2 linked regions of the Pelodiscus sinensis genome follow. The protein of the gene in region 1 interacts with the protein of each later gene in a pairwise test. Links are inferred from orthologs where the notes say so. Each region holds a gene or a part of one and is shown on either strand. Other genes may lie near its edges.

Region 1 (7,581 bases):
TTTTGTTGGCTCCAGAATGCTGTTCATATTTATTCAGTAGCTATTAAAGTCTGTTCTGCCATTGTGTGCAAACCCCCTCTCAGTTAGAGTTCCTTTTGCTTCCATTGCTCGCTCATTTTTGTGAAAACTGTTATTTATTACAATACTGAGTCATATATAAATTTTCAATAAAAGCTGAATCTTTCTTACCGTTAACTGTTGCTGTCTTCTCTTCCCAGTGTGAAAAGTTTACTTCTGATTGTTTGGGGGGAGGGGAGATGGGGAAAGGTTTATTTAATTTTTAAAATGAATTTGTAAAAAATGATTTGCAAATGCAACAGCTTCCTACCTGGCACCAGTCTAGAGGCAAAAGATACACCTTCAGATACAAAAATAGAATTTTCTTTTGGGGGTGAGGATTAAAAAGCCATGGCCTTGGTTTTATTTGTAAAACTTTTCCAGATACAAGTCTTGTTTGTCCAAGAAGGTTCCAATTTCTCTTTTTTTGGAACCTGTTCCGGTTTACATTAAGATTTTGCAAATCAGACCTCTGGTCACTGCTACTTTGTCCAAGATTTTCAGAACTGGCCACAGTGCATCGTTTTCTTCACCTTCCTTTGCAGTGGCTTGCCTTTTTATAGCTCAGCGGGCCAGATCAAAGCTCTTTGTCAACTCTCAGCGAACTGCAATTTTTTAAAAAATTGTATTTAGTGATAGAACCACCAAGCCAGACAAAAAGTTCAACTTTTGACATGGCGCAGCCGTATGCCTGTATCCGCCTGCTCAACTCATTCCAGTAGCAAACCAGCCCTCTCCCTAACAAAAGGAAGTCTGTTCGACAAATTGGGAAGACCTGAAAATAATAATGCGGCAGGTTTAGGCTTCAGAGTGCCAGCGAAGTTTTACAAGAGACTATAAATCATGCCTCAGTTAGGAAAGGACAGCCCAGCCGGCGCATACAGGAATGCTGCCGCTCAAATCTGCGCCTCCCAGGCCGGGGGAAAAGTTCGTGCGAAGTTTCTGGGACGGGACCCAGTGGCTCCGCGGGCACTTTGGGGGAGCTGGCCCCGCCACCTTCCTGCGCCATGGAGCCCCGGTGAAAATCAAATCCCCTCATCCAATCGCTGCAAAATCCAGCCAAGTGGGGCTAGGGGAGAGTCCCATCTCAGCAGCTGCTCCTGCGCCTGCCGCCGCGGCTTGGAAGAGAGACGCGGTTTTCTGACCCGTGCGGAGAGAACACACGAGATGTTACCAAATCCACCTCGTGAATAATCCGGTTAAAATGATAAAGTGCCAGTGTAAATACCGGGGCTCTGGGCATGTGCCTTCGGATCTGCCCATCATGGGAATCCCTTGCCGAGGTGGTTCATATGCTAAATGAATTAAACCTCTTATCTCCTTTCACTGGGGGATGCGAATCGGGCCCGGATCTGCCTCCTTCTCCCCCTCGCCCTTTGACTCTATCACCCCCGCCCATCACCTCCGTTTCTGGGCTGTGTTCTCTCTTGCCGGCCTGCTGGACCAGCCGCTCTTGATTTGGCCCGAGACAAGTGCGCACTTTGGGGTGGTTAATGTAGGTTAACGCGCTTTCTCGGCGCCTAAGAGTCAGAGGAGAATTGGTTAATTCGCAGCGAACAGCTGTTCGCCCTCGCAGGGCCCTGGGCTGCGGAGCAGGAGCCTGTGCCAATGACACCGGCCACGGCGGAGTCCTCGCTGCTGCCTCCGCTCTGATGAAGGGGGAATAAGTTTTGACAGCTGGCGTCCTCTGGCCTTTTCCAACTGGCCCGTTCAGGGGCTGGGCCCGGCTCGCTTTGCCTTCCCGGGCGCAGGTTTCTCTGGCCCGGGCTCCAGGGGGTGGCTCAGCCCTCGGGCTGGGGCTGTGGGCTAGCGGGGGCGCGGAAGAAGAGGGTGCATGGAACCGGGAGGGGGAGACATGCTGGGGCACGGAGCACAGAGCGAGACGCGGGCGCTCCAGGGCAGCGCTGGCCACTAAGCCAAGGGGCTGAAATGCTCCGGGGGGAGGGGTCAGAAGCAGCGTCCACCGGGCTGTTCTCCGCCAGCAGGGTCCAGCCCCAGGCTCCGGGGCCGCTGCAGGGAGCAGGGAACTTGGGGGGCTTCTCCCCGCGGCATTGCCCGGTTGTTTGGCAAACTCGCTGCAGCCAGCTGAACTCCCGCCCCTCCCCCCCCCGTCCCAGCCAGCCCAGGGGCTCCTGGGTCAATGGGGGCGAGACAGTCAAACGCCCCCTCCCCCCGAGCGCCCCAACCCCTGTAGCTTCCCACGTGCCTCGGGGTCCTGCCCAGGCGCAGCAGGTGCTGCGGGATCCCGCGCACACGCCTCCGGTGCCCGGCTGCAGCCCTGGGACCCTACCCCCCTCCCGGGGGCCGAGAGGGGCTACGGGAAGGCCGGGCCCCGCAGGCGCTTACCTGTGCGCACCCAGCGCTCCCCCTTGCAGCGCGGTCCCTGGAGATGGGTGGGGGCAGGACGGGGTACCCTGACCGCCCCCCCTGCGCCTCCGCCGCGGCTGCTGCGCCGCCGCCTCTGCGTGCAGCCCCCAGCGCGGCGCCAAACTTTTCTCTCGCGCGCTCGCTCTGCGCCGTGTGCCCCCTGCCTCCCCCTAATCCCGGGCTTTTATGGGCTGCGCATTAAGAAAATTCGCCTGCAATTTGGGATTAGACAAGTGCTCTGATTGCACGGGCAGGGGCCAGTGCTACCTGATACCTCCCCGCTCCCAGCCCCAGCCTGTGGGGCTGAGCCCCAGCGCCAGAGCCAAGCTCCAAGCGGGAGCGGGCCGGGCAGCCGAGCCCCGGCTGGCCAAGCAACCCCCTCTCCTGCACGAATAACCGGGAGCCGATTGCTGGGGAGTTGGGCGCAGCCGAGAATATGGGCTTTTTGGCGAGCCTGGCCGGGCTCCCTTTGCCCGGGCGCGCGTTGGAGAACAGCCCTTCCTGCTTAAAAATCGGCCCCCAACTCCTGGCCTACCACCCTGGGACAAAGGTTCAGGTGCCTCAGCGGGGCTTGCTCCCTGTGCCTACAAAGGCAAAGGTAGGGACCCCGGGACTGGTGTCCCCTGACAGCCCTTTACTTTTTGTGAATGGGCTGCGGCGCCTTTGTTCCCCGGAGAAGTGCCCGTGTCGCTGACTTTTGTGGACTATAGAAAGATCTTGTAAACCCTCCTTTTCTTTCGTCCCTTCTCCTCCTTCTACCTCGCCCCCCCCCCCGCTTTGATTAGATGTCCCCTCATCGCCCGAAAAAAAATGTAATTTCGTTTGGGCCGGCGGTCACTTCCTTTGAACATTAGCTCGCTTTCAGCTCCAGCTTCAATGAGAAGGAGTTGATTTTGAGAGATCAACAAAAGACCCGCACCAAAGCCTTATTAAAGGTCCTAAGAAGATCGCCTGGACCCTTTGAGAAGCAGTTAGGGAAACAGTGTGCATCCATGATATTCTGTTACCGTGTTTTATTGGGACGCCAAAGGAAAGTGTCTCGTGAAAAACACTTACTTTGATGCCCGGCCGCGTTTAATTTATTTTGCTGGCAACGAGTTGATTTTTTTTTTTGCATGTTATTATTATTACCCCCTTTTCAGATTTCCCTTTGTGTTATTGGACATTCTCCTATTAAACTACAAAAAAAAGGAGTGATTCTTAGGAAGAGATTAGGGCCCTTCGTTAATATTTATGAGACGGCGCAACTTAAACATATATATGTCGAGATCATTGTGGGGCCTGAGAGCTTGGAGAGGGAAAGCCCAAGTTTATGGTCACCCATCGCCATTCCCTTCGCTTCCTTCGTTGTGTAGGTTTCACGAGCGGCGCGCTTCAAATAAAGGTTGGGACCGATTTTCAGAACGGGCACTTGGGATGTTTCGGAAAGGGGGAAACCCGTGAAACGAAACCCATCCCAGGCCAGCACAATCCTTCTCTCCCAGCCTAGGTCCTGCCCAAACACAAACGGGAACGAAAGGGGTGATTTGCAGGGCGTTGCCGGTGGCAGACCAGCCATCCCAGCCTTCCTTCGTGACATACATTTCTGCGCACTTAGGAGCCCTGGTTCGTACCGGAGCGTACGAAAAAACGGGGGTTGCAAACTTTGGGAGAGCGAGTGGAGTCGTAGAAGAAAAAGTCAGGCTGGGGCAGGACTGGGAAACCCACTAGAAGGAACTTGCTCCACATTCCGGGCGGCCCGGCTAGGCGCTGTCGCCCCTTGGAGTTCAGGTTTGCTCGCTGCGCGCCTAGGGAGAAGCGCTGCTCAGTGCGCGCGCAAATACAACTCAGCTTCACACAGACGCGCACGGGCAGCAATTAAACGCGCAGAAAGTTCCCTGTGGGCGCCGGGCTAGGCGGAGCGTACGCTAGTCCAGCCGGGGCACTCCGGGAGCCCCTCCCCCGAGCTAGTCCCGAGTCACTTGCACCCGGGACGGGCTTTGTCCGGGCAGGACAGCACCAGGGGCTGCGCCGCCGCCTGCCCCGGGGGAGCCGGCGCGCGCGGCAGGGCTGGGGTGGAGTGGGGAGCCGGAGAGGAGGGAGGGGGCGTGCAGAGGTAACCCGCATCCTGAGCTGCCATTGGCCAAGGCGGCTGTCAGTCAGGCTGGGGGAGGCCGGGGATTGGCGCCGGGCCGGTTACGCACTTGCCTCGCGCTCACATACAAGGGTAGGGCGGTGGAAAGGTGATCAATCTTCATCAGGCTACATTTCCAATCACCTAAGCGCCCGGGCCAGACCGCTCCTGCCACAAGGTAACGCGCTGGATGCGCTGCGGGGCCGGCTCCCCCCTGCCCTGCCCCACGCGCGGCCCCGGCGCCCCGCAGAACTTAGCGCTGCCCGCAAAGAAAGTGCAAGGAGCCGCCCCCACTCACCCCCCCCCCCGGGTGGCAGCGCGGGGCAGGGGGACAGTAGGGAGCCCGTTGCAAGCGCCCGGAATCTGGCCCGTCCGCTCCTGGCCGGGGCCTTAGCGGCAGCGCCCCAGGGGTACGGGCAGGTGAGGCTCCTGGTTCCTGCGCAATCTGTCCCGGCGCTATGGGCTGCAGGAGCTTCCCCCCCCCCCCCAGCCCGGACTTTCCGGGAGCAGCAGGGGCGCCCCGGCCCGTCTGCTCTGCCTGGCCCCTTGTGCGGCTGAGCCCGGCTCGGCACCTTGGCCCCTGGTGGAGCCGGGCGAGGCGCTCCGGGCTGCCCGCGTGTCCCCGCCAGACTTTGCAACTCCCCGGCCAAGTTCCGCTCCCTGGTAGCGCAGCTGGCGGGTCCCGCGCGGGGGTTGGCGAAGCCCTGCCCGGGGGTGCTGGTGGGTGTGGGACTCCTGGATTGTGTCTTAGCCGAATGTGCGGCGCCGTTCTCTCCCCGCCTCCTCCCCCTGCCTGGGAGGGTGCCGCTGTGGGGCTGGCAAAGAAACTTACATAATGGGGCCAAATCACTCCAGGCCCGGCCAGGCTCCTCTCCAGGAGCCGCTCAGAGGGAAGCAGGGCTTGGCCTGGCCTGGGGGAACCTGCTGCCTTCGATGCGCCACCGCCAAGCCACGGATCCTCTTTGGAGCCCTCTCTCCCGGCCTGGGGCGCTTCTGTGTCCATGGCGCTCTCTGGGACTAGAGGCGCGGGCGCCGATGCTGGTCGGGAGTCTCTGGGAGGATAAATCGGCCTCCACAGCACCCCTTGGCCTGGGAGGTTAGGACGCTTTGCAATGGACTCGGTACTTTCGGGAAATCCGCAGGAAAGTGCACACAGGCCTGTGGAAACCTCCTGCGTGCGTGTCCGCTCACTCCAAACTGCGAGCTAAACCGGACGCGCTTAATTTCCACCCAGACCCTAAAACCGAAACCCATTTACACTAGAGGGGATCCCAGCTGTCCAGTGCAACAGGTGATCCTGGGAGCTGGAACTACGGGTGCGGGGGGTGCCGTGTTTTCCATCTCATGCAGAGTTTACAGTTGGGTGCATTGGCGCTCAGCATATTACCCCCCCCCACACACACACACACACACACACTATACACATTGCTCCAGCACCCCTGGAGGATGTAAATTAATTTGGAAATGGCCTTAACGGCGAAAACAAACAAACAAACCCCTCCTCCCCCCTTTTTTAAATCTTTCTGGTGCAAATACAGGAAACTCAGCTGGAGACAACATGGCCCTGCACCCAATTAAAGTTTGTAGCAAGTGATTACTTGTGATTAGAGCCGCCACCATCTGTTGCAGGAATTCAGATTTTATTTTATTTGGTTGGTCTCTTCTAGTTTTTCTCGTGGCGGACACTGAGGGTGCTTAGGTGTCTGTGGCCTGCGGAGAGAGATTTCAGGAGCTGGGATCAAGGTTGTGGATTTTTACCTGGAAATTTTTACTTGGCTCTGAGGGGGGGAAATAGATACATTCCAGTTCCGCGGTCCCGCTTGTAAATTCTTTGCTGTTGGAGAACAGCAAGACAAACTGAATTGGCAGGAAACCGTGAGGCGACGGGTTTGAGTTGGCACTTCTCAAAGCCGGGTAAGGTCACCCAGCTAGGCAGAGCAATTCCCCCTTTTATTTATCCCTAGTGAGAGGACGTGAAAACTTCCTCCGTCACCCACACGCACCCCTTGTGCAAATTTGTTTATCACCCCTACGGGAGGAAACCCCTGGAATATGAATTTCAAAGTGCTTCTAAATCTGTTTGGGTTTTTTTAACTGCTACCCATTTCTAATTAAAATGTCCCCTTCTGCTCTCTCTTAAATTAATTATACGTCCCTCTTTTGATAGCTCGTTTTGATTTCTAATCCAATTATCTTTTTAAATAATTGCTTTATCTCCCCCCATCACTTGTACTGTGCCCTCCTCCAAGCCCCCACGGCGATTGTATGCTAATATGGCTCTGCTCTTTAAAAAAAAAACTCACTTCTCGTACTTTTTTTATTTCACTATGTTTGGGGGGGTGTCGGCCATATTGACTGTTCCCCCCGCACACCCTTCTCTAGACGCGCAACAACTTTCGAACAATAATACTGACCACGAAAAGGAGCGAAACTTTCGATTTTATTTGTACTGCGTGGGGTTTTGTTTTGGTTGTTTTGTTGGGTGGGTTGGTTGGTTGTTTTTTGGCGAAGAGAGAAATACAACTCCCTTTGCAACGAACAGGAGTCTGTGCTCTTGTGTCTTTTTGCAATCCACCTCCCCCCCCCCCCGCAAAAAAACCGATTTAATTTAATAGACGCACAAATAGGTAAAACTTCCCTGCGCTTTCGATTCATTTTAATGTGATCGGCGCCGCTCTTCTCTCGCGAATTCAAACTCCGAATCCCAGCGGTGTGTAGCGCGCCCTGCGAAGTCACCGGGTTTTGTCGATTCCGCTCCGAAGAGCTTCTGATGTTTGTCTTTTGTTCCGTGTGTATTTTGTTTTTCTTTTAGGGAGCGAGGAGACTGTTCTGCACCCGGATTTTCTGCCCTCGCCTGGAAGAACCCGTTTTGTGACTTCAAGACGTTTTAAGACTTTTTGTTTTGTTTTTGTGATCAATCGGGGAAAATCTTTCCAGCTTTTAGCATGATGTCTTACCTCAAACAGCCCCCCTATGGCATGAATGGGCTGGGGCTGACCGGACCTGCCATGGACTTACTGCACCCCTCCGTGGGTTACCCGGGT
Region 2 (7,076 bases), on another chromosome or scaffold:
ACAGAGCTGGCCCTAGAACAGTAACACGGTTTTATCTATATTTAATAGGGTTTGGCGCTTCAGTTTTGAAACCCTTCCAGTGTCGTTATTCTGCATTGGATTGATTCCCCCACTGTCAATAGCGATAGAGATTCTCATCTCATCACTGAGTTTCCCTGCATTCTGGGAGGGATCTGCTGCGTTTGTATCAATTGGGACCTGACAAGATCCTCGTATGTTGCAGTATTCACCATGGACTTCGCTGGAGTGACCTGCGATTTAGGGTGATGTCACTGAGGCTACGTCTAGACTGAAGGCTTCTTTCGGAAGAAGCTTTTCCGGACGAGATCTTCCAGAGAAACTTCTTTCGTAAGAGAGCGTCCACACAGCAAAAGCGCATCGAAAAAGCAATCTGCTTTCTCGAAAGAGAGCGTCCACATTGATTGGACGCTATCTCGCATTTAAGCTGTGTTTACAATGGATGGAGTGGCCACTAGGGCACCTGTGCTTTTTTCTGGAAACTTCTTCTTTCGAAACCCCCTCCTCTTTCCCATCCCTACGTGCCTTTTTCCGAAAGAGGTCTTTTGGAAAAAGGCTTCTTCCCCGTAGAAAGAGGTTTACTACAGTCAGAAAAACCCCTGCAGTCTCAACTTTCTGTCGAAAGAATGCAATCGCAGTACGGACATAAGTGTCGTATTTCCGGAAAAACAGCCATTTTCCCGGAAAAGCTCTAGAGTGTAGACATACCCCGAAAAGTGAAGCAGGCCCAGATTTCAAACATGGCACCTAAGAAAATGCATTTCAGGGGACTGTTCCATGCTTGCGGCATTGGAGAGAGACCCATCTTCTGTAGCCTGCTGAAGAAGTCTGTATTCTATGTATATAGTTAAAAATACATGGGTGTGGGTGGATGGGGAGGGCTTTGGCTTTGTTCTGTCGAATTAGTAACAGTTTGGCATACACCAATATGCACTAGGAATGAGGCCTACAAGGGATTGGTGGTGGGATAGCTTAGCGGTTCCCCCCCCCGCCCGGATTTCCAATTCCAACCTAGACCAGGTGGGGGGACTGAAAGTTGCCGACATCTGATGTGCACAGAACAAACATGGAGTGGGGAAAATGCCTGTTTCTAAAACGCCCAGCAGGCAGTGGAGGGTGGTCATAGGGTGTTAATCTGAGGCTGAGGATACTGAATGGGCGATGGAGACGGCCCTTTCCTTCCAGCCTCCAAATCTAGATCCTCTACCCCACCCTGCCGGCAGGGGGTTGGCGTGCAGTGAAAACGCTCTCCTGCCTCTCATAGCCCGACACCCCAGCCTTTCCGGCTCTACGTCTGTGGCATCCCAGCACCATGCTGAGTCCACAGAACAATCTCTTCTCTCGCTCCTCCGCGGGGGGGAGTTAAAACGAACCAATCTCAGTGGGTGTGAGGGATAGGAGTGCCGGCCTCCTACAGGGCTAACCTCAGGTAGCTAGGGGTGTTGTTGACAGGGAACCAGCACCACCAATGGGCTACAGTGCTGAAATTTAAATTGTAAACATATTCCTGCGCCCGTTTGCTCTGTCGGGAGAGTTAAGCCAGGAGGGGAGAGACACAGGATGGTTTAAACCCAGCCAGGACTACCATGCCTCCCAGGAATTCGCGGCATGGGAGTAGACTGACCAAGGAAGGGGAAAATGTGTATCTAGGCCCCTGAGGGGGGGAGCTCAAATGATGCCCCCATGTCGCCTCGCTTGGGCCAAAACTTTGAAAGGTCTCAGTTCTCTGGGTCCTAGTGGCGTCTCCTTCCAGTCTGGCGCCTGAAGCGGCCGCCTCAGTTCACCTCATGGTAAGGCCAGCCCTGATCGAGTGCCAATCAGGGAATTTTTCTTTATTTTGGGTCGTTTGGTTTAAACTTCTCTGTGGGAATCTAGGCCTCCCTCTCCCAGTCACCATTTAAATCACTGCCCAAAAGACAATGGTTCTTTGTGTTTTGATTTGTTCTTTCCTGGCTGCTCCGTAACATCTAGCAACCCAGTACACTTTATAGCATGTATCTCGTTCGTTTTGTTAGTCGACATCACTGTCGTAAGGTGACGATTTGACTGTTGTGTCCTGGAAAGTAACGCAGGTCTGTGCAGGGCCGACTTATCCATTAGGCACAGTGCCTAGGGCCCACGATACTTTTAGGGGCCCACAAAAATGTTTGAATTTCTTTTAAAATCAGAAGCAAAGAAAATGAACTTTTAGGGTGGAAGAAAATGTTTTAATTTTTTTCCTCACATCAGAGAAAAATGAAACTTTTAGGGCCCACGACAATCTATTACATTTTGCCTACAACAGAAAAAAATAAAATGTTGAAGTATTTAAAGTTATATCAAAAATAATTTTTAATATTTTTTTTTATGGAGGAAGGAGTCACGAAGGCAAAAGTGCCTAGAGCCCATGAAAGTCATAATGCGGCCCTGGGTCTGTGTGTGTGTGTTTGCCGGCCTGTGACTAGGTGCTTAACTACCAGAGACAGCAACTTGTTTTTCTCTTTTCTTTTTTTTCAAGCTTTTTTGGGGCAAAAGAGCTTGGTCAAGTGTTCCCCTCCCCCCCCCCCCCCAAAAAAAATTTTTTTTCAGGGTAAATCACTTGATGGTGGCAGCTTTTGTTTTCGTTGTTCTCAGAGCCTGGGCATCTGAGAGTCTAGGACTACATCTAAGACCACAAGCCTCTTTCGAAAGACAGCGTCTAGACTGCAACCACTAAAGTGAGCACCCAGGCAGTCTGGATGCTCTCTTCTGAAAAAGCCCTGTTTGCGTTCAAGAACACCTTTTTTCAAAAGAGCACTTTTGAAAAACAGGCATTCTTCCTTGTGAAATGAGGTTTACCGTGGCCGATAAACCTGCCGCATTCTTTCGATTTACTGTCGACAGAACGCGGCGGCAGTCTAGAGGCAGGGGAAGTTTTTTCGAAAAAATCCTGTAGTCTAGACCCACCCTGGGAGTTTTTAGAAGCGGAGCCTAGAGCACGACTACTCAACACGCCGCCCCCGGGTGGGATCCTTTGAACACGGCCTCCACTGGGAACACGCTCTACAATGGCAAAGTGTCTCCCAGATGGGGTGAGCATTGAAAGACACAAGCGGACGGGCTGGCTGGAACAGACAGATACAGGGTGTCGGCATTTCTAGCCCCCAGGAAGGAGGTGCCGGGAGCGCCTGGGCATTGCGTGAAATAATTCATTTGCATATATTTGCACGTATATGCAACCACACTTAAGTTGCGGCCCTCGGCACGTCCTGTGAGCATCACTGTGGCTTCCGGGGTTTCCAAAGTTGAGTAGCCCTGACTTAGAGGCAAAGGCACTTAAAGTCATGGTGGGACCCCACCTCTGCATGCCGAGTGTCAAAGTGGGGACCAGCCCTGACCAGGTGCGTTCTGCTAAATTCTCTACCTCGCTTAGACGCGGAAGGTTCCACGCTGGGTGAATTAAAAGTTCCCAGCCTCCGCTGATTGCTTCCTTAGTATTAGGCTCGTGTGTCCGATGGGATAGGAGGTAAAGGAGGAAATGAGGGGAGGGATGTCCTAGATTTGCTAGTGGGGGGTCCCACATGTTCTCTATTCTAGCCCCATGGAAAGTGACTGAACGGGAGAAGCAAGGGACAGTTTTGTCCTCTTGGCTGTCAGAGGATGGGATATTTCTGCTGCTCAGCCCCAGTGGCAGCACTGTCTTCTGGAAGTCCCAGAGCCCTGGATGAAACTCTCGTTAAGCCCACATTCACCGTCAGCTGATGCGCTCTTATGAGCGATGCAAGGAGGAAAATGCCACTGGAGCCAGGGTGATAAATTCCACCCCCCGAAACAAAAAAGTCATTGAACCAAAAGGGAATCCATTTACCTCTGGAATTTTCTGACCTTTTTGTGGTGCAAGCTGATGTGGGTTTTTTTTAAATAAAACACTGTAAGTTGCTCTTCTGATGACTTTTTCATATTGTTTACTTTTGTAACCCTTCCCTGTGGACTGGGAGCCAGAAATGACGTCCACCCCTCGTCCAGCATCAGAGAATAAGAACTTCAGAGGAAGGAATGCAACTTCAGAAAGAGCAAGCCACAGACGCTAATGGGGAGCAGAGGCAAAGCTGCAGGTTAACAAGTTCTTTGCAAGAGAAGCCCAGACACCCTCCCTGCTCTTGGATCCAAGCATGGTTTCGGCTCGAGCCTTCGTTTTCCTCCTAAGCCTCTGGTGTCCCTTTGCATCAAGTCAGATGACGAGTACAGGAGGTAAGTGGGTTTTAATCACTTCTATGTGCGCGGCCCTTCTCTGCAAACACTGCGGGAAGCGAGAAAGCAGCTGCCAGGTAAAGAACACCTGGTGATACCTGGTCGATTTTTACCCGTTGGAGTGTCATACAAAATCTTGAGCCAACAGGTTTAAACATTCGAGTTCTAGGCTGTTTTTCCCCTCTGTTTATCGATGTTTTGACAAATTAGCCTCTTCCTACGGCAGCAGAAAGGCCCCCATTTTTTGTTATTTTGCAAACAGAACGTGCCCTTGGCAAAGCGTCTTTGTTTTGCAAATGATGAAATTAAAGCCCTTTTGGCTGTAGGGTGTGCTCTGGCCGCTACCTGGGATTTCTGTGCGCCCTGAATTCACACACAGCTCAGAGGAAAACTAGCCCCCTAGGCTAGGAAGTCAACCCCTTGTTTTCAGAGCAGTGCCTCGTTTTTGTCACTTCCTGCCTCCGACGAAAGGAGTTGCAACTCACGAAGGTTTGTGCCAGAATAAAATTGTTAGTGATTCAGGTGGCACCCGGATCCTCCTTGTTCCCTGGCAGTATGTCGGGGGTTTTGCTCAGCGCCTGATGAATCCCTGACTCCCACATCCAGCAACCTGAGACCTAAAAGACCAAGTTCCACAGGGCACAATGTGTTGATGGAAAGCATGAGGGAGGGGAAGAGTAGGGCCTGCCACACACAGGGATTAGCTGGGATTGCTTAGAGTGAGAGTAAAATAATTAAAGACCCACACAGAGACCTAGCTGCCCAGATGTGATTGCCCCAGGCAATCTTGTGTGTTCACTTAAAAACAGCATCCTGCTCTTAGGGACAGACAAACCCTTTTGGATACAATCGGAGGATCTGACCTTACCCAGCAGCTAGAACTCGCATGGAAAATAGTGATAGAGATGTAGCCGTGTTAGTCTGGTGTAGCTGAAACAAAAGACAAGACTACGTAGCACTTTAAAGACTAACAAGATGGTTTATTAGGGGATGAGCTTTCCTGGGCCAGACCCACTTCCTCAGATCAATATGTGGAAGAAAATCAGCACAACCATATGTACCAACGTGATACAATCAAAAAAATGAACGCATGTGAAATTGACAAATCAAATTTTAGAACAGAGTGGGGGTGAAGGGGGAAGGTTAGTTTCTCTGAGGTAATGACCTGGGGAAGTTTCTGTGAAGTAATGACATAGGGGTGATAATTGGGGTAGCTATCTTTGTAAAGGAAAATGTTTGTGAGGTTGAAAAACGTCTGACTACACGCTCTGGATAAAGGGGGATCAGGGGGCTTCATTTGGTATTTGACTTCGTGTTTGGAGGTTAGTTCCTAGACCTAAGCATGCTATAGGGCAGGAGTGAGGGAACCGTATCTGGGTCACTGATATGGCCTCCGACTGAGAAGCAGAAAGACACCAGTGTCTAGGCAGGCCCAGGGTTGTAGATTCTGTGAGGGAGCGGCCGAGAGGGTTCCCCAATGTTGGGGTGAGAGTCCTGAGCCTCGAGGGCTGGATCCAGGTGAGCTGGGGGGGGGGGGGCGCATCTGGCAGTCCTTACGGGGGGTTAAAACGAAGGCCTTGAATGTCATGGCAATCTCGAGGGGGATCTGGCGAGAAAGAAAGCCTTTTTCGACAGATCCTTTATACCTCCTGTGAGGTGGTTTACAGGATCTGTCATAAAAAGGCTTTCTTTCTCGCCAGATCCCCCTCTAGACTGCCGCCGTTTGCCGACAAAGTGCCGAGTCGGCAAAACGTGGTGGCCATTTTTATGCAAATGAGGCCCGGGATATTTAAATCCCTGCCTCCTTTGCAATGTCGACCTGCCTAATCTGCATCCCTCTGCCAACAGAGGGACGCAGTCTAGACACCCAGCTCGGTCGGTGCCCATTCACGGCCTTCGGGCCGGCTGAGGTCTGGGGCTGCCCCTCATCCTGCGCTATACACTGACTTCTGTCCTACTGCCCTGTCAGCAGCAGCCCCCTCCTGGATGCAACCAGCACCAACTTACCACGCCAGCCTGCCTCCCTGCCACATTACCAACGCCTCCCTCTTGAGGGGGGACTGGCGAGGAAGCTCTGGCGCTCTAGTCTGACTCAGGGCCGCTGGAGTCCTGTCACCTTCCTCCTGGAGCATGCAACTCCTCGTTCCTCCCAACAGCTGCCTCCTCGCCACACGCTGGGGAGGGGAGCCGCTGCTAGAGGTCGTGACGATCTGGAGAGGCGGAACCGGGCAGTACAACACCGAGGCGAGCAGACTGTTTGGCAGGCTCCGCCCCTGACGCTCCTGTTTTCTCTAGGCAGGGATGTGGAGCGCCAGATGCTTGCGGAGATGAGAGAAACCAACCTGGCGCTGAAGGAAGTCACCGATTTGCTGAAGCAGCAGGTACGTGAGAACACGGCCTGGTTGCCTCTCGCCCGCTGCCAGAGGGACCCACGAGGCCGCTGCCTTGCACGCAGGCCTGTTGAATAGGGGGATTAAAATGGACACGCTCATCCCGTGGGAAGAGCCTCAGGTGATAGAATCATAGAGCTGGAAGAGACCTCAGAAGGTCAAGTCCAGCCCCCTGCTCTAGGCAGGACCAATCCCAACTAAATCAACCCGGCCAGGGCTTTGTCAAGCCGAGAATTAAACACCTCTAGGGACGGAGATTCCATCATCTCCCTAGGGAACCCATCCCAGTGCTTCTTGCCCTCCTAGGGAAATAGTTTTTCCTAATGTCCAACCTAGACCTACCACACTGCAACTTGAGCCCATTGCTCCTTGTTCTGCATCTGTCACCACTGAGAACAGCCTCTCTCCATCCTCTTTGGAACCTCCCTTCAGGAAGTTGAAGGCTGCTCTCAAATCCCC

Evidence for each region.
Region 2: the proteins of OTX1 (region 1) and COMP interact in binary tests that used the Homo sapiens proteins (3 or more experiments, as listed by UniProt). The two-hybrid records come from large-scale screens. The link is inferred for Pelodiscus sinensis from reciprocal best matches to the Homo sapiens genes OTX1 and COMP.

What each region holds. Positions count from the first base shown.
Region 1 is NC_134713.1:185,274,760-185,282,340, reverse strand, and holds the start of OTX1 (homeobox protein OTX1), read left to right. Parts: upstream 1-4,578; 5' UTR 4,579-4,715; intron 4,716-6,204; exon of another isoform or gene 6,205-6,280; intron 6,281-7,349; 5' UTR 7,350-7,482; coding exon 7,483-7,579; intron 7,580-7,581. UniProt on the Homo sapiens protein: Probably plays a role in the development of the brain and the sense organs. Can bind to the BCD target sequence (BTS): 5'-TCTAATCCC-3'.
Region 2 is NC_134729.1:19,486,327-19,493,402, forward strand, and holds the start of COMP (cartilage oligomeric matrix protein), read left to right. Parts: upstream 1-4,069; 5' UTR 4,070-4,148; coding exon 4,149-4,227; intron 4,228-6,522; coding exon 6,523-6,608; intron 6,609-7,076. UniProt on the Homo sapiens protein: Plays a role in the structural integrity of cartilage via its interaction with other extracellular matrix proteins such as the collagens and fibronectin.